Saccharomyces cerevisiae S288C: one gene and its partners. The protein of the gene in region 1 interacts with the protein of each later gene in a pairwise test. Each region holds a gene or a part of one and is shown on either strand. Other genes may lie near its edges. The genes, in order: NOP4, NOP13 and TMA16.

Region 1 (6,397 bases):
TCAAGCTCTTCAATGGACATGCAGGCAAATACAAACGCATTAAGAAGAAACTTGTTAAAGGATGAAGGAGTGACCCCCGGAAGAATACGAACTACGAGGGAAGATGTATCCCCGCACTATAATTCCCAAAAACAAACCCTCATTAAAAAACCGCTGACGGTATTTTATGCCATTAAAAAGTTCAAGACAGAGAAGGATGGCGTCGAACAATTGCATTATACGGGAATATCTCAGAGTGCCTGTAGAGAAATGGCATTATGTCGAGAATTGCACAACAAGCATTTAACCACATTAGTGGAAATTTTTTTGGAAAGGAAATGTGTCCATATGGTATACGAATATGCGGAGCATGATCTGCTACAAATTATCCACTTCCATTCCCATCCCGAAAAAAGGATGATACCACCAAGAATGGTTCGGTCTATTATGTGGCAGCTTTTAGACGGCGTATCGTATCTTCATCAAAATTGGGTGCTTCATCGAGATTTGAAACCCGCAAATATAATGGTGACCATAGATGGATGTGTTAAAATTGGTGATTTAGGTTTGGCCAGAAAATTTCATAATATGCTGCAAACCCTCTATACTGGGGATAAAGTGGTTGTCACTATATGGTACCGTGCACCTGAGTTGCTATTGGGAGCACGGCACTATACCCCTGCGGTTGATTTATGGTCCGTTGGCTGCATTTTTGCAGAACTGATAGGATTACAGCCCATATTTAAAGGTGAAGAAGCTAAACTAGACTCTAAAAAGACTGTTCCATTTCAAGTGAATCAACTACAGAGAATTTTGGAAGTTCTTGGCACTCCCGATCAAAAAATTTGGCCTTATTTGGAGAAGTATCCAGAATATGATCAAATTACGAAGTTTCCAAAGTATAGGGATAACCTTGCTACATGGTATCATTCCGCGGGAGGAAGGGACAAGCATGCTTTAAGCTTACTTTACCACTTGTTAAATTATGATCCAATTAAAAGAATAGATGCATTTAATGCGTTGGAACATAAGTACTTCACAGAAAGTGATATTCCTGTTAGTGAAAATGTATTTGAAGGTCTAACTTACAAATACCCGGCAAGAAGAATTCACACGAACGATAATGACATCATGAATCTTGGATCAAGAACGAAAAACAATACACAAGCTTCAGGAATCACCGCAGGTGCCGCTGCAAATGCGTTAGGTGGGCTTGGTGTTAACCGTAGAATTCTGGCCGCGGCAGCAGCAGCCGCTGCTGCGGTGTCAGGAAACAATGCATCAGATGAGCCATCTCGAAAGAAAAACAGAAGATAGGCTTCTATTTTTATATATATTTGGAATTTTTCATTCCACAGCACTGTCACTATTATATTCATTAAACTTTTTTTTATCTTTATAGTATTTAAATCGGCATACAGTTTCAATTTTTCGCTTTAGAGGCACTAAGAATGCAAGTCTGCAACATTCAGGTAAAATAATGGGTTGATTTTAGGTCGAGCTAAAACCCTGTTCTCCGCAGATGTATGCGAATTTCGTCATAATTCATCTCAACTAATGGGGCTTTAAAACATATGAATATCTCATGCATTCCCAAAAAAGAAGAAAGAAAAGACTTCAAGTACCCCCCTTAATTTTTATATAATGGTAGTAGTAGGTTTGTTCGTAACTTATCGGCAATAGTAATATGTTCCCATTATAACACATCTGTTAATGGTATTCAGGTTAATAACCATAGCAAAAAATATAAACAACTTTGTACATTTTCCATAAAAAAGAATGACTTTACGAAAACATTGGATGAAACAACCAGTTCATCCCGTTCAAAGTCTAAACTACGTATAAAGTAGAGTTATCATCGGTTAACAAAGTACATTGTGTAGTATGTAGAAGGGCTGAAACCATCAAGAAAAGGAGGGACACGCTCATACAAAGGAGAAGTCATGAATTCTAAATGTATCTAATAAGATACGTGAATTCAGCATCACCTAGTTATTAATGACCAGCCGAACCTAAAAGTCATTGCACAAACAATGTAGAAACATAGCTAATTTTACATACTTTTATTTGCGGTCTACTTATAACCATTATGTATATCATGGGAAATAAATAATTCTCGTCTTGCCTATTACTTCAAACGGAACGTCTAGGAGCGATACTGGTAATAAGGTTTCAGTATGATTTACTGAGATGCTGGACAGTATATGTAGAGAGTTTCTCGCGCTTCTCGTAAAACAGTACTAAAATAACGACATAAAAGCTTTCGAGTACGTTAGAGATTCATCTATCTACTCTTTGAAAAATAATGTACATACGTAAAGAGAATACAAATCGAAATTCCTATAAATATGGTTCTACCTCTATTTTTTTGCGTGCTTTCTCTTACGCTTGAACCCGATTATTCTCTTTATATCATCGCCCATCTTTTTGTCATCGGGATTGGTGGGCGTCGTTGCTTCTTCTTTTTTTGGCTTCTTATTCTCGGATTCTCCGACATCTCCAGTATCTTCATTATCTGGTCTTGTTCTCTTGGTTCTTGCTTGCTTCAATTGTTCCCTTCTTCTCTTTACGACGTTAGAGTTCTCAATCGCAAATTCAACACAAAGACGTCTTCCTTTGCCTAAGTCATTGTCTACTTGTTTCTTTTCATCATCATTCAAACCCTCTAAAATTTCATCGGAGGTAACGGCATGACAATTCAACCACCTTAAGCCCATCAAAGCGTTTTTATGATCTCTGAATTCTACAAAACCGTAACCTCTACTTCTTCCCGCAGTTGATCCTTTAACTTCCATTATAACTTTTGCTTGCTTGACAACACCACTTTTTTTGTCTTTCTTTTTTTGAGCTTCAATCTCATCTGGACCCATGAACTTGTATTTTTCCTTTGTAGATCTGATAATCTCTTCTTTACTCAATGGATGTCTTTCCTTATTTTTAACTTCTGTAGCAAATTCCACGACAGCTTTACGAGCTAACGCCTTTAATGCTTTATCATTCATTGCTCTAGGAAGATTTCTGATAGCCAACCTAGTCATCGACAAATGCAAAGATGGGTTCTTTTTCAGTTGCTCCACTCTTAATTTGTAAGATTTTTCTCTGATCTCCATGTCAGTGTTGGTTAACAAATCAGCCATTTTTGAGCCTTCAACAACTCTACCTTCATTCAGCAAATATAAGTTACGTCTATCTTTTTCGCCTGGCGCTTTACCTAGGGCCTCCTTTCTTTTGGCGGCGTTCTTTTCTGCCATTCTTCCAGCATCCTCTCTTACTAACGTTGGAGTAATGGACAGAACACGACCTTCATACACATACTCAGGCATGACATCATCACCTATCAATAAAGAGGTAGAGCCAGCCGCAGGCGCATTTTTGATACACTCGTTATATGTATATTGGTCTTTGAAGGCTACAAAGGCCGTACCTTTAGCCAACCCCGTAGACTTATCGATAACAGGTAATGCGTATTTAACGCTGCCAAATTTACTGAAGTGCGGAGCCAAAGATTCTTCAGTGGCATCATAAGGGACGTTACGAACAAAAACAGAAAAATCTTCCCTTTTGTTTTGTGCTTTACGTTTCGATTCTTTGTTTTTTGAAGCTTGATCTACTTGTCTATCTTCCTCTTCATTTTCATCTTCTTCGTCGTCATGGTTTTCTTCAGCATCTTCATTTCCTGACTCGTTATCATCTTTGTCATTCATTTCTGGCTGGGCTTTTTTGTAATCTTCCCATCTGTTTTTTTGAACAGCAAAATCAACAGCCACCTTTCTACCATCAATTTTCAAGTCTTTGGTGTTTTCCAAAGCAATTCTACAATTACTGATTTTCTTCATAGTAACAAACGCAAATCCACACAATTTACCATCACGCTTCCTTGGAATGGTAGCCTCCACGACGGTACCATATCTACCAAAGATCTTTTTCAATTTAACTGGATCACGACAACTCCATGGCATATTTCTGATAATTAATTTCGGTTTACCTTTTAGCATGGAGTCTTCACCATCAGCATCGTCCTCATCTTCATTGTTCTGGCCCGTTATTTTCTCAGATGACTCAGGTGTGCTCTTTTCAACCACTTCTGATGTTTTCTTTGAACGATCTCTTCTTTTAGCAATGTCTACCCTCAAGATATGTCCGTTAAATTTGGTCTTTCTGGCCTTAGCTAGGGCTTCTTTTGTGTCATCCTCTACAGCAAAACTAACGAACCCGAAGCCCCTGGACCTTTTATTCGTGTCCTTAACAACTACCGCATGCTTGATCGGAGCAAAATTGGAAAAGAAATCTGCCAGCTGCTCATCTGTGACATCCTGGGGTATAGACCTCACAAACAAAGTCTTCATATCTAGGCCGTCGTCATTTTGTTTTGAGACATTACTAGAAGGCACTTCAACATTTTCTATTGTTTCTTCCATCTCACTTTGGTAGATTGGTAATATTGATAGCTTTTCACTAGTTCACGAAGAAATCTCACTATTTTACTAATAAAAAGATTTTGTATGTAGTATTTAATTCAGAATAAACGATGAGATGAGATAGACTCTTGAAATTTTTCAGTGAAAATTATTTTTTTTTTCCTTCGCCGTTCCATGGGTAACCCTATAGGGAGCCAACATATATAACCGCACAAACGTAATGGCAGCATTTAATTATTTGATATGCGGCTAGATATCCACAACGTCTATAAATTATGAGTTCTATATCCTGCTCATAGTTTCATTTGCTAATGCCTTTAATTCCGGCTCATTAGGTGGTATAATATTATATATCTCCTTTAAGCCTGGAATGTCTTTTTCCTTTCCTGCTAGTTGAATTGCATCACGAAAACCCCTGCACTCCACATAAAGCTTTTTCTTTTCCTGATACGAAAGGCCAGGTATCATATTAACATAAGGACTAGCTTTATCCATATGGCCTCTGCTTTTTAAGTATGTGTAGAAAGGCATGTAACCAATTGGTGATTTCCGCGACTGAGCAAACTGTAGTAGTTCGTCAAACTTCTTAGCTTCGACTAACGTTTTACATTTCAGGTGATACAGCTTTTTTTCGCTTATTTTGAACTTTTTAACTATTTCTTTCACCTGTTTATCTTGCCCTGTTTCTATTAACTTCGAAAGCGTTTGATCTAAAGTCATATTAGTGAATGATATAGCAAATCTTTTGCCTAATGATTCTTGGTATATCCACAACTTTTCCTGTCTTTGAAGTTGTTCTATTGTATTGTTGACCACTTCACTGTTTTGAACTTGGCTATAAAGGTCCTTAATTTGCGGTAAAAAGCTGTGTAAAGATTGCTGTTCTTTTCCCTGCTGCAGTAATACGTGAGCCAAGTCAATAAATCGGTCAGTTTGGCGGTAAAAATCGTACAAGTATGCTTTATCCATTCTCATATAATAGAGATATAAGGGATTGTTGAACATATCAATGATCAAAAGCTTCGTCAGTTGAGAGTTTGTCAGCTTTTTGGAAAGTGCAATCAGTAATGAAATTGTCAGACTGTAATTTTGTACTTTGATACACTCCTTTAGCGCTATACTATCATCATCAAGATTATACAGTTGCTCAATTCTAGCTTCTTCGTTTTTCTCTAATAAAGCTAAATTACGGGATAACTGGAACCTTCCTTCAAGATATGCAACTTTCGCAACTGCTACCATTTGTAATGTATCCGTCATATCTATAACACTTAGTCGAGATTTGATTTTGTCTAGTAACTCATCATCTTCCATGTCAGGACTACCCTTGATTTTATCCTTTGCCCACTCAGTAAACACGTATCCTAACAGAAATCGTTCATTGGCCAATTTGCATATCTGTATGCACTCATAATATCTGTGATACTTCAACAGCCTATCAATGACACCTTTCAAAGAAATACACCTGTATTCCTCCACAGTCAAAAAAATACCAAAACTTCTGAAGCAGTTTAATAATTTTATCGTATTACACGCATTCACAAATATACTAGCGTCAAATGACTTGTACTGCAAAGAAGCTTTTCCATAAGATGCAGCGTTCAACAACATCTTCTGTAGTTTAGGTTCAAATTCGTCTATTGCAGCAGCAATACAGTCCAGTACACCCTTCTCTAAGACAAAATTCTTTAATATTTCAATTGCTTTGGGTGCATGATCCTCCAGTAAACTAAATGAGTCAACAAGCATTGCACCAGGCTCGGTTGAGCCAATTCTAAATATATTAGAAGTCTGAGGTTGTACCCTGGATAGAAAGTAAATCTTTTCAGTGGTAATAACCTTCAACCCATCAACCTCTGCCCTTAGGTTAGTTACAGTAAAAGGGTACCAAAATGTTACATACAAACCATCTGGGCCGTATAATTTGATTTCGTCCTCGAAAGAACAAGCAACGGTATCATTGCCACACCAACATATATCATCTGGTGTAGAATCCAAGT
Region 2 (6,397 bases), on another chromosome or scaffold:
GAAAGGAAAAACAGATTAAAACGCTGCTATAACACACTGATTATCGATAAGCAATATTCTAGCTCACTTTGTCACCGTGAATTTGTCAGCAAGCACCAAAAATGTCGATGCTTTCAATGACTATTACGTATCTTCTCTACTTTTGTGCAAATGTAAATACTAAATGAAAGCCCTATTTTGTGTAGGGTTTACACCGCACAAAGTAAAAAGAAGCGATAAAAATGAAAAAAAGTAGTCAAAATACATACTATCAAAGTAAGGGCATTGGTGAAATACTGCGAGGCTGGCCTTTTCCGCAAATATCTGGGGCAGCGAAGCGAAGGGGCCCGATAGGAACTTTTGGGGCGGGAGCCCTTGCATTGACATGGTTAAGGTTTTACATCCATCATTCTCCCCCTCTCTTGTGGTTTAAAAAAATAAAAGGTGGCCGATTTTTATGTAATATAGAAACGACTTCTGTCCTTCTGTCCTCTGTATTACCTAATTTTCTTTCTCTTGATGGTATTTAACTTTCTAAGCATTATAAGATAATATTAAAGGGAAAGTGTTTCTAGAATGCAATCGAGCTTACCTCAATTTACGTTCAAATGGCCCAAAGGACCCGAAGCAATTATTCTGACAGGCACGTTCGACGACTGGAAAGGTACTTTGCCGATGGTGAAGGACCCCAGTGGCGCCTTCGAAATAACGCTGCCAGTAACGTTTGATAGCCCTAGCAGCAAGTTTTATTTCAAGTTTATTGTTGATGGCCAATGGCTGCCAAGCAAAGACTACAAGGTGAACATCGACGAGGGAGTGGAAAACAACTTTATTACCGAGGAAGACGTAATAAAGCAACGCGAAAATGGCTCTAGCACGCTGGTACCTGAAAGTGCCGGATTAGCTGTTTCAAAGAATGCCCCTCTTATCGAACCAGAAGCTGAAAAACGTGCAAAAAAATTAAGAAAGTTCAAGATCAAGAGAGTGATCAAGACAAATAAACAAACCGGAGAAAGGTCGATATTTTCCCAAGAAGTGGTTGAATTGCCCGATAGCGAGGATGAAACCCAGCAGGTGAACAAAACGGGCAAGAATGCGGATGGCTTAAGCGGTACTACAACGATAATTGAGAATAATGTTGGTGTAAACGAGGAAAAAGCAATCAAGCCGTATGAAGAGAATCACCCCAAAGTTAATCTAGTTAAGAGTGAAGGATATGTTACGGACGGTTTGGGTAAGACGCAATCTTCTGAGTCTAGATTATATGAACTATCGGCCGAAGATCTTGAAAAGGAAGAAGAGGAAGAGGACGAAGATAAAGGCGGCGGTAAGGACACCAGTACAAGTGCAGACGCTGAAGCTTCAGAAGATCAAAATAAGGAACCATTAAGTAAATCCGCTAAATTTGAAAAACCGGAAGAAAAAGTACCTGTAAGCTCAATTACAAGCCATGCTAAAGAGACTTCTGTGAAACCAACCGGCAAGGTTGCGACTGAGACTCAAACTTACGAGACGAAACAGGGCGCTCCTACCGCTGCCGCAAAAAAAATCGAAGCTAAGAAAGCTACTAGACCTTCGAAACCTAAGGGCACGAAAGAAACACCAAATAAAGGTGTCCAAAAGAACCCTGCTAAGAATGGAGGGTTCTTTAAAAAGTTGGCCCAGCTTTTGAAGTGAAAACAATCAGGAGAATACCTAAATATATGACGTACTCGCCATACCTAACTATGTAAAACCTAATTATGTATTAATAACAATACCATGTTGTATGTAAACTCTGATGTAGGATCGCACTTTTGCCGAAAGCACATGCTTGTCTTTGTATTTCGCTTGTACGCCTTTGCTCAGAAAATTCTGTAGGAGTCACGTTTCCCGTTGAAATGCAAAAACCTGAAATTTTTCAGTCTGAAAGAAAAAATTGCGATGAGCATAGATGATAAATTTAACCATACAACAAAGAGAAATCCTTTTCCCCACAGAACATTACCTAAACCCAACAACTTTCTATAATTTGAGATAGAATGTCAGAAACAGAACTGTCGAAAGAAGATGCTGTTACAAAAAAGGATAACGAGGAACAAGTCAAGAAGGCTTTACTCGATCCAACAAAAAAGAGAAAAGCTGAAGATGAAATTGAGATTGACCTGAAAAGCTCCATTCCCCTATCAAAAAAACAGAAACGTCTCTTGAGAAGAGGTAAAGTTACTCTAGAGGAGTTGAATGCGAAGTACAATATCGACCCTAAGTCAATCGAGGAATACAAAGAAGATGCTGAAAAGAAAAAGTCTGGTGCTTCTGAGAAAGACGCCCAGGGTGAAGAATCTACAATCAACACTCCAACAGGAGATGAATCTGGCGAGGTTGTAAAAAAGAAGAAGAAAGATGAAAATAAATATGGTGTTTGGATTGGTAACTTATCCTTCGACACCACAAAGGACGATTTAGTAAGATTTTTTATTGCTAAAACAAAAGACAACGAAGATGAAAAGAGCAGAGTCACCGAACAAGACATAACCAGGTTATCCATGCCTCGTGTTGCTGCCAAGAACTCTAACGCCATGAAAAATAAGGGATTTTGCTACATGTTTTTCAAGAACGTCGAGCAGATGAAAGCGGTCTTAGAATTATCTGAATCTCATTTAAACGGAAGGAATATGCTAATCAAGGACTCCGAAAATTATTCAGGTAGGCCAGACAAGGACGATTTAGTTGCCATGTCCAAAAATCCACCGTCAAGGATTCTATTTGTCGGTAATTTGTCATTCGATGTCACAGATGATCTGTTAAGAAAACACTTCCAACATTGTGGTGATATCGTGAAAATCCGCATGGCAACATTCGAAGATAGTGGTAAATGTAAAGGATTCGCATTTATCGACTTCAAGAATGAAGAAGGATCTACTAATGCATTAAAGGATAAAAGTTGTAGAAAAATTGCCGGAAGGCCATTGCGAATGGAATACGGTGAAGATAGAAGTAAAAGACAAGTTCGTAAGAAGGTTGAAAATGTATCCAGAAACAATTCCTCATCATTTGATATCTCTAACAACAAAGGATACGATCGTGCGGGACAGGATAACGGCAGCAAACCCGAATACAAGCGGTCCAACGCCAACAGACGTCCACCTGTAGATTCCAATAACCGAACTAAGAGCAGTGTAGCTTTAGCCACTGCTCAGAGAGGTTCTGCAGCTATTGTCCCATCACAAGGTAAGAAAGTGAAGTTTGACTAATCAGCGTGAACTGACTGTAGGTGCCACGTATATAATGCGATTATTTCGCTTGTAAATTATTCAATCATTCATGTTTTATATATACATTGTATAACCAATTGCTGCTATTTTTATTTTTTCCATTATTGCTTATCAAGGCACGGGGAGAACGCACGGAAAAAAAAAAAAAAAAGAAGAAAGAAATGAGGTAAACAAGATCTTTAGGAGCGGTTCGCATATTAGTAATACACTGATAATCGCCGTACACTCATAAAATCCTAAACTACTCACCAGGTACCGAAACACTACTGATCCGTTTTTTGGACTGGTTGTTGGCACACTTTCGCTTAAGACACACATTTAGTATTTCAATCCCCATCCGTCGATATCTGAAGGAAATCTAAAAGAAAAGCTGGATAGAGTAATTATTTTGGCCATCGTATGAACTCCAATAGTACCATCGGAAGGACCACCCTTGGAGAATCTGATACGATATCCCTGTCATTCAGTGAACCAAGTAGCAGTCTGAATTCACGATCAACGGATGTTGTCTTCGCATCTACTTCAACTTTAGTACCCCAACAAGGAAGTCTGACCTCATTACCGCCCGTGTCTAGTACAGCTACTCCTACATATTATTCTACAAGCTTAACATATGATGAGACTTTGCATACATCCATTGATGTATCTTCGACAAGTACTTTAGTATCATCTACCGACAGCAGTTCATCGAGCGAGCAAGATACGTATAGTTCCCAATATGACCCAGCTACCTCCTCATACTCAATAATTACACCATCCATGTCCATTTTCTCATCGACGTCACCAATGTCATCATCGTCGTCAATAACGTCGGAATGGTCATCGTTAACATCAACAACACCAACGTTATCGTCATCAGCTACATCGCTGTCATCATCATGGTCGTCGTTATCATCACCATCTTCGTTACTGGTATCGTCCTCGTTGTCATTATCACTATCTTCATCATATTCAGACACTAAATTGTTTTCGTTCGACAGCAGATCTTCTATTTTCTCACCATCAACACCCACCGTAATATCCCCTAGTTACACATACTTGTCTTCCATATCTGCAACTTCATTTCAAATTAGTACCACTTCAGAACTCTCTTCTAGTTGGTTCTCAACAATTTCTTCTCCTTCTACGATATCAAATAAAGATACCACATTCCCAAGTTCCAGTCGGAATACTTCCACATCGTTTTACAGTTCATCGCTTTCATCGACGAACGATTTTTCAACCATAAGCAAATCATCGAAACTCAGTCCATCAGCTTCATCTTCGACAGTTTCCATAAGCACGATTTCCGTGCCAACGTCAAGTTCTGTTAGCTCATCCAGCAGTAAAGTACCTTCAAACCGTCCTTCATCATCATCATCATCAGATGATACAACAAGTGCTTACTCAAGCACGTATACTTTTCAGTCCTTACAATCTACTACTAGCAGCAGTATACCACCCACCACTCAAACACCCAGCACTAGTACGATTTCTACGTCTCCCATACCAACATCCAGTCAGGTCTTCAATACGGTAGCCATTTCAAGCTCCGAAGATTCAAAAACTATTTATTATTTCTATACCCAAACATATGATATTACTGACTCCTCTACAACGTTCGTGACGGGATTACCTACGACCATAGCAGTTGCAAAAAGTGAGGTAACCTCATTTTCCGCTCCATCTTCGACGATCACAGCTGACATGTCTTTCTATCAGCACTGGCTTGATGGCAGTTTGGATAATAACAAAAACCAAGGCACTTCAAAGACAAATACTGGTACCATTGTTGGAAGTGTGGTAGGAAGCGTCGGTGGTATTCTTATATGTGTACTAGTAGTTTGGTTCATGCTGGTTAGAAAAAGGAAGGCAAAGAGGCATTTCAAGGAAAACGATTCCTTCTGTCACGAGATTGGGCGCAGAACGGGATTCCCAACAACTGCCCAAGCAAAAGAGGCGTCACTTCAAGCTCAAGACTCGGGATCACAGCAACGAAACACCGAGACTGCTTCTGCTAATAATCCGTTCAGCAACGAATTCAATTTTAAGGCAAGAGGAAATCCTCCTCCAGTGCCACCACCAAGGAATGTTACCGCAATGAATGGCTCCTTTCAAAATATGCGGAGTAATTTCATGGACCAGGAAAACAGATTTTCCTATGGCTCTTCATTTACATATTCGTCATTGGGTTCATCTACTCAAGGTGGCTTTTCTACTTTATCTTCAAATTCGATACGACTCGGACGTGGTTTAGATAATGACATCTCTCATGATGAGAGAAATACAGTTCAGAACAATTCACAAGGGTTCTTGAGGGAAATTATATGACGATGACTTCAGTCTATTAGTATGATGTTTACTAATTAAGCAAAATCAGCTCTTGCTGAATAACACTACTATTAAAAATCATAAAAACATCTTTATTGCCAATAGTGAAGAACGACAAGGCCTTTTAAAAGGCATAAAAAACAATGATACCATTCTGCAATGAAAAAAAAAGAAAACTTTGTTCTTTGTGTATAAAGAAAATATTTTAGTTCTCCTAAATAAATAAATACTAAATTATACGAAACTCTTTCAGTCTTTTCTCCTGCTTGCTGCTTGAACAGTACTCATGATATTCTATTAATCTTCTGTGGGCGGGGTAACTAAGCCTTCACTGTACTCGGGATTTTGAATAAAAGTCAACTATCCAATCTGGAAGGCATTTTAACATACGCCATTAGGAGCCGCATAGCAAGTCAGAGAACCTCACCTCACCCTATCTTTTTTATTAAAGAAAATGAACTTCCACACGGCAAGAATATCTCAGGTCGGTGTCATTTCTAGGGCTCTACTTTCTTCTGTAAGTAGACGTTGGATTCATGTAACGCCAATAAGTCTTAATAATTCAGGAGGATCACTATTCGGAAGCATTACAGAAAATAAACCAAAGGAAGGAAAAAACAGGGGGGATGAAGATGCAGGCAGCTTCTCTAATAGGTTAGCGATTGCTTCTGATTCTTCTGGAGAGGCTCCTGAAGTTAATAGGGATTCAATAACCATAGAAAACGATAAACTACTACAGCAACATATCATATCGTTGCAGCAACCGGAACAATTAGCATCACAGAGCTTATTATCTCCTTTGAAAAGGGAAATATATGAAGCTAATTGTAAAATTAATGGTGGGTTTTACAAGA
Region 3 (5,624 bases), on another chromosome or scaffold:
AAGAGGATCCGTTTCAGAACATAGTACTAGCATAATGTTAACATTGAGTTTCTCAATGATATGGTGCAGTTCAGCCAAATTTTCATCCAGTTGTGATATTGATGGCGTATCGACAATGCACCCTGATCTCCTGACTTGAGGATCCAAATGTAACCTTTGACCTACTACTTGACCTAACTGGCTTATACACTCAAGGTATAGATCTTTGTTCTCATTAATCCTTTCCAGGCCAAAATTTTTCACCATTGGCTGCTTATTATGTAGTAGTGTGGCACCACTAGTGAGACTCTGACCCCAAGTGGGTAGTTGTGCATCAAGTATATCTGATATTGGGGTGGCAGATATGCATCCAGGAACAGTAAAAATGGGCTGTTGAGGGTCAAGATTGATGTATAGTGGTTGGTAAGCGTTGAATTTCAAAGCGTAAGAACATAGTGTCCTCGATAGGGAAGTCTTCCCGGTTTGCGAACCACCAACAATCACCACTCGAGGGCCTTCAAAGTTAGACATTCGTATCTTCTCCAACATGAAGTGTAGATTATAAATATATTTCATAGTATGGTTAGGCTTGACAGTTATTGTATTCGTAGTTAAATCAGGACATTTCCATAATAATTCTGTTTCTTCGACAGCGTATATGGGAAACTTCCAGTTCTGAAAAGTGTACTCATCATCTACTGCCAACTCGGTGCCAAATATCTCAACTATGCCCGAGTTTACCTTGACTATCAGTTTTCCCTCTGCTTTAAGATCAATTTGCCAATCACTGCCCTTGGGAATAACCAACTTGTGCCATTCGTTATCACCAGTTATCAATTCTTCAGAGGTAGTATGCTCATCAATACCAGGTAGACTTGCCATGATGGTTTAATCGTGTTGGAATTTCGAAAAGAATTAATAGTTTGTTCTTTTCCCTCGATAGAAAGGTCTCTGCTCATTTTTGCCAGCAGTCTTATTTTTTGCTGTTATTTTCTATTTTACCGGGCAATAACAATGAAGAGCACAAATAAGACAAAGAAAGGGAGATCGCCCTTTAAGTAAGTAGATAGATAATTAATATATGTAGCTAAATAAATCGACTTGTCAAGAATATATTTCTCTTATTAATCTCTGTTTTCAGCAATCCACTCGGGCCCGGATTTCAAGACCCACTCGGTCCAGGATCCATCATATAATCTAACATTGGGAACTCCTGCTAGCTCCAATGCTGTCTTGATAATGACTCCTGAAACGCCAGTTCCACAAGAGCAAATAGTTGGTTTACTTGGGTCCAAAGTGCAATGAAAGTCTTTCAATGCCTTTTCCAAAGTAGCGTGTATCGCCTCCCCAGCTTCTGGGTACGTTTTGGTCTCCGGATCAAGTAAACTTCCATATGGTAATGGTTGGGTACCTGGAATATGCCCCGATGGAATGTCGGAACGAGGCTCTGGTTCTGTACCTTCGAATCTACCGAGCGACCTTGCATCGAAAGCATTGAATTTCTTAGCCAGTTCCCCACTCTTTACCAATTGGAACATTTCCTCATAGTCTACAATCTCCTTGTCTTGGAAACTTTCTGAGGACTCATAATGACTCTTTGGATAGGGTGAAAACGCTGCCACCTTAGAGGAATCTAGAGGGTACTTAAACTCTCTGTACTGGTTGAAATTATTTAGTAAGTACACCTTAGGATGTCCCATCACTCCTAATGTCCAAGCACATCTAGGGGAGCTAAAGTTACCAACACGATCGTAAACCACTAATATATCATCTTTTTGAACTCCTAAATTACTCATAGCGTCGTCAAAAACCTTCTTTGTAGGGAACATATGTGGATAGGGCGATTTTTTGTCACTGATTGCATCAATATCAAAGAAAATGGAGTTTGGTATACGTGGTTTGGTCAAGAAATCCACTTTATTATCAAGCTTCCAACTGGGTAGGTACCATGTTGCATCAACTGGAACGATTCTATGAACCTTCTCACTGGCCACTAACTTAACAAACGCTTTTGGAGAAATAAGATCAAATAATGGCATTGAATGTATGGGCAATTTTCTTCACAACTTTATGCTTTTGTCCTCATTGTTTGAATGCACTTACGCTGTATTATTGTACACAGCTGAACATCCCGAGCGAAAATTTTAAAATGGTTTAATAGACGAGATGAGAGATGAGCTCTTTAAAGGTACTTTCTAAGAAGAAAAGTATCGGAACAGGACTTACCACGACAAACTAATCATGCCGGTTACTAAATCTTTATCTAAGTTGCAAAAGAACTTATCCAAGAAAGGGAAAAATATCACGGTTCATCCGAAGGGTAGAAAGTATGAAAAGCTGGTCAGGGCTACTATGCGTGAAGATAAAATCGCAGCCAAAAAGAAGCTTCATCAAGACAAAAGAGTCCACGAACTAGCTCGGGTAAAATTTATGCAGGATGTAGTTAACTCTGATACATTCAAAGGGCAACCAATATTTGATCACGCCCACACAAGAGAGTTTATTCAAAGTTTTATTGAAAGAGATGATACGGAATTAGACGAACTCAAGAAGAAGAGGAGGTCAAACAGGCCACCAAGCAATAGACAAGTGCTACTGCAACAAAGGAGGGATCAAGAGTTAAAAGAATTTAAGGCGGGGTTTCTCTGTCCAGACTTGAGTGATGCGAAGAATATGGAATTTCTAAGAAACTGGAATGGCACTTTTGGCCTTTTGAATACTCTAAGATTGATCAGAATTAATGATAAAGGTGAACAAGTCGTTGGAGGAAATGAATAAGAAGTGTCGCAGAGGAATCTTTATGGTTTATATGCTCTTTATATAATTTTATGTATATTATAGTAGAAAAAGCAAAGAAAAAAAAGAAAATTGATATTATTAGCGAAGCTTTTTCACAAATTAATCCGTAACAAACAAATTGGCAAAGACAATTGAAGGGAGTAGTGCGAAATATGGGCCGTGATATATGCACATTAGACAATGTTTACGCTAACAATTTGGGCATGCTAACCAAACTAGCTCATGTGACAGTACCAAACTTATATCAAGATGCCTTCTTCAGTGCATTATTCGCTGAGGATAGCTTAGTTGCAAAAAATAAAAAGCCATCTTCGAAGAAGGATGTACATTTCACACAGATGGCTTATTACAGTGAAATACCAGTGGGTGGTTTGGTTGCTAAATTAGTTCCTAAAAAACAAAACGAACTATCTCTCAAGGGCATTCAAATCGAATTTTTGGGCGTGTTGCCTAATTATAGGCACAAATCCATCGGTTCAAAATTACTGAAGTTTGCAGAAGACAAATGCTCAGAATGTCATCAACATAACGTGTTTGTCTATTTACCAGCAGTGGATGATCTTACAAAGCAATGGTTTATAGCTCATGGCTTCGAACAAGTGGGCGAAACTGTCAACAATTTCATAAAAGGTGTAAATGGCGACGAACAAGATGCTATCTTATTGAAAAAACACATTTCTTAACAGATGGCTGAAAAATTTTTTTTTTTTTTTTGGTTTTGCTTTGTATACACATGTATCTATTTTTATAAAGATGAAATATATACGTCTAAGAGCTAAAATGAAAAACTATACTAATCACTTATATCTATTCTGGTGATTCATCATCTTCAGCTTCTGTATCCGTATCGATATCAGTATAATCGCTAGCATCACTTTCATCATCACTTTCGGTTTCGTCGTCATCAGTAGAGTACTCATCATCCTCCTCAGAATACACCTCTACTTGTTCCACTGCAGGAGAATCACGAACTTTCATATTCATGGTAATATCCAAATCTGTAGTGAAATAATCTGTGGATTTAACGATTACTCTAAAAAAGAAATCACCAACAGTTTCAGGTGCAGGCTGACCTAATGGAATTTTTATGGTCCCGATTTCCCAATCATTTATATCGAATTTTTCGTGTTTGGTTAAATCCATTTTTATCCTCTTATCAAAGAAATCTTTGTCATCGTTCAAGTTCTTGTAAGATAGCTTTTCAATGATAATTGGCGTTTGAAGTATTTTACCATCTTTTTGAGAACTTACCAGACAGCACCAACTCCCACGTCTCTTTGTAGGGAAAAATGGTGCAAAGGAATATGGGACGAGTGGCTGTTTACTCATCATAGCAAATGGATCTCTTTGAGATTCAAAATCTTGAGGTTCTGTTAAATTTTCTTCAGGAATTAAGCTAGTTGGTATCAATGGCTGTTTAGCAGAACGAACCAGTACTTTCAAAGAAATGTATGGGGTAGATGATGGTGTTACTTGGTTCTCACCTGGGACAAGGAAGTCTGCCTTGATGATCTTTAGATTTGGAATATGCGATGCAACTCTCAAAGTTTCGTTTAACTTTGCTTGATCCTTTATTCCAAGAACCTCACCAATCTTGGCATCTTCTAAAGTAAACAATTTACCTAATGTATGAATATCTCCGGTTTTGGTAATAAAGTGCTCTTTATCTACGTTCGGCAATTGAAGGATTTGACAGTTTGGTGTTAATGGTACAGCCTGAACAATACACTTGAAAGTATTGATTGCACCCAATGCAATATCTAAATTTCTGAATCCACAAGCAATATCCAATAAACCGTGTAACAAAGAGTGACATTTGGCCACTATTCTAAATTTCGCATTGTTAAGTTTACCACTATCTCTGCGGTTAATATGATCTTGCAAAAGTTTTTCAAAATCCGTTGGTTGCAAATCCGGGAAGAATTGTTTAAATTCATGAGCAAATGATAACCAGTGTAAGATCAAATCTGTGGTGACAATCTCAGATGGCTTGTAATTGACTAAGTTACTAACAAAATTAGAAGCCGTCACATTATGTATTCCCTTCTTAGTATACGATTGTGTTCTTGCCCACCATCTACTAACAAAATATGGCAAGATTAAACCTAGTAGCGCAACATAACAAACCACTAATAATGGAGATGCACTTCCATCTACCAAAAATCTTGGTAGAGCGATACCATGTGAAGTAGATTGTGGGCCATCTGGATGACCGTATTTCAAATAGTTTTGCCTAACCAATTCGTCAGTAAGGGATTCGTAAGCCTTCGTAATCTGAACATAAGTTTCTTCCATCACACTTTTCTCATCAGGTGTTAGGCCCTTTGCTAATTTATCTGGATGAAATTTAACAGATAATTTTCTATAAGCAGATTTGATGTCTCTATCGGAAGCACTAGTAGAGATACCAAGGATTTCATAAGGATCAAATAATTTTGTAGCAGCGTCTTTAATCGCGTCATTACTATTAATCCTTTGCAGAAGAATTGCAACTAAGATCCAACCCACAATAATTATAATATTTCTCCTGCTCCATATTTTGGACTTCTTATTACTATTTTTATCAAACTTCCTTCTAAATTGTTTGATTTCATCACTGGTGTATTCTTCATTCAAGTTCTTGAAAACTTCCTCATTAAACTCCTTACTCTTCCCTGAATTCCCATCTTCAGCATTGGCCCCAAAAAAAATTTGGTATATTTGAAGCAGTGTCATAGGCCCGACGACCATCAAGAGCCCCGTTAAAATGAAGGACGGCCACGTCTCACTAGCCTCATCATACTCGTAATTTGTAGGCATTGTGCTGTAATATGCAGTATATTTATTTTGTTGCGAAGGCCTTCTTT

Evidence for each region.
Region 2: the proteins of NOP4 (region 1) and NOP13 interact in binary tests that used the Saccharomyces cerevisiae proteins (3 or more experiments, as listed by UniProt).
Region 3: the proteins of NOP4 (region 1) and TMA16 interact in binary tests that used the Saccharomyces cerevisiae proteins (3 or more experiments, as listed by UniProt).

The regions. Positions count from the first base shown.
Region 1 is NC_001148.4:467,939-474,335, reverse strand, and holds NOP4 (mRNA-binding ribosome biosynthesis protein NOP4), read right to left. Parts: upstream 4,398-6,397; coding exon 2,340-4,397; downstream 1-2,339. Other genes in the region: cyclin-dependent serine/threonine protein kinase SSN3, read left to right, coding at 1-1,296; tethering complex subunit VPS16, read right to left, coding at 4,680-6,397. UniProt on the Saccharomyces cerevisiae protein: Required for 60S ribosomal subunit synthesis. Probably involved in the processing of 27S rRNA to produce mature 25S rRNA.
Region 2 is NC_001146.8:304,216-310,612, reverse strand, and holds NOP13 (Nop13p), read left to right. Parts: upstream 1-2,000; coding exon 2,001-3,212; downstream 3,213-6,397. Other genes in the region: MDG1 (Mdg1p), read left to right, coding at 556-1,656; TDA7 (Tda7p), read left to right, coding at 3,633-5,543; mitochondrial 54S ribosomal protein uL22m MRPL22, read left to right, coding at 5,998-6,397.
Region 3 is NC_001147.6:801,447-807,070, forward strand, and holds TMA16 (Tma16p), read left to right. Parts: upstream 1-2,220; coding exon 2,221-2,757; downstream 2,758-5,624. Other genes in the region: cleavage polyadenylation factor subunit CLP1, read right to left, coding at 1-861; TUM1 (thiosulfate sulfurtransferase), read right to left, coding at 1,104-2,018; peptide alpha-N-acetyltransferase subunit NAT5, read left to right, coding at 2,931-3,461; protein-transporting protein SEC63, read right to left, coding at 3,586-5,577.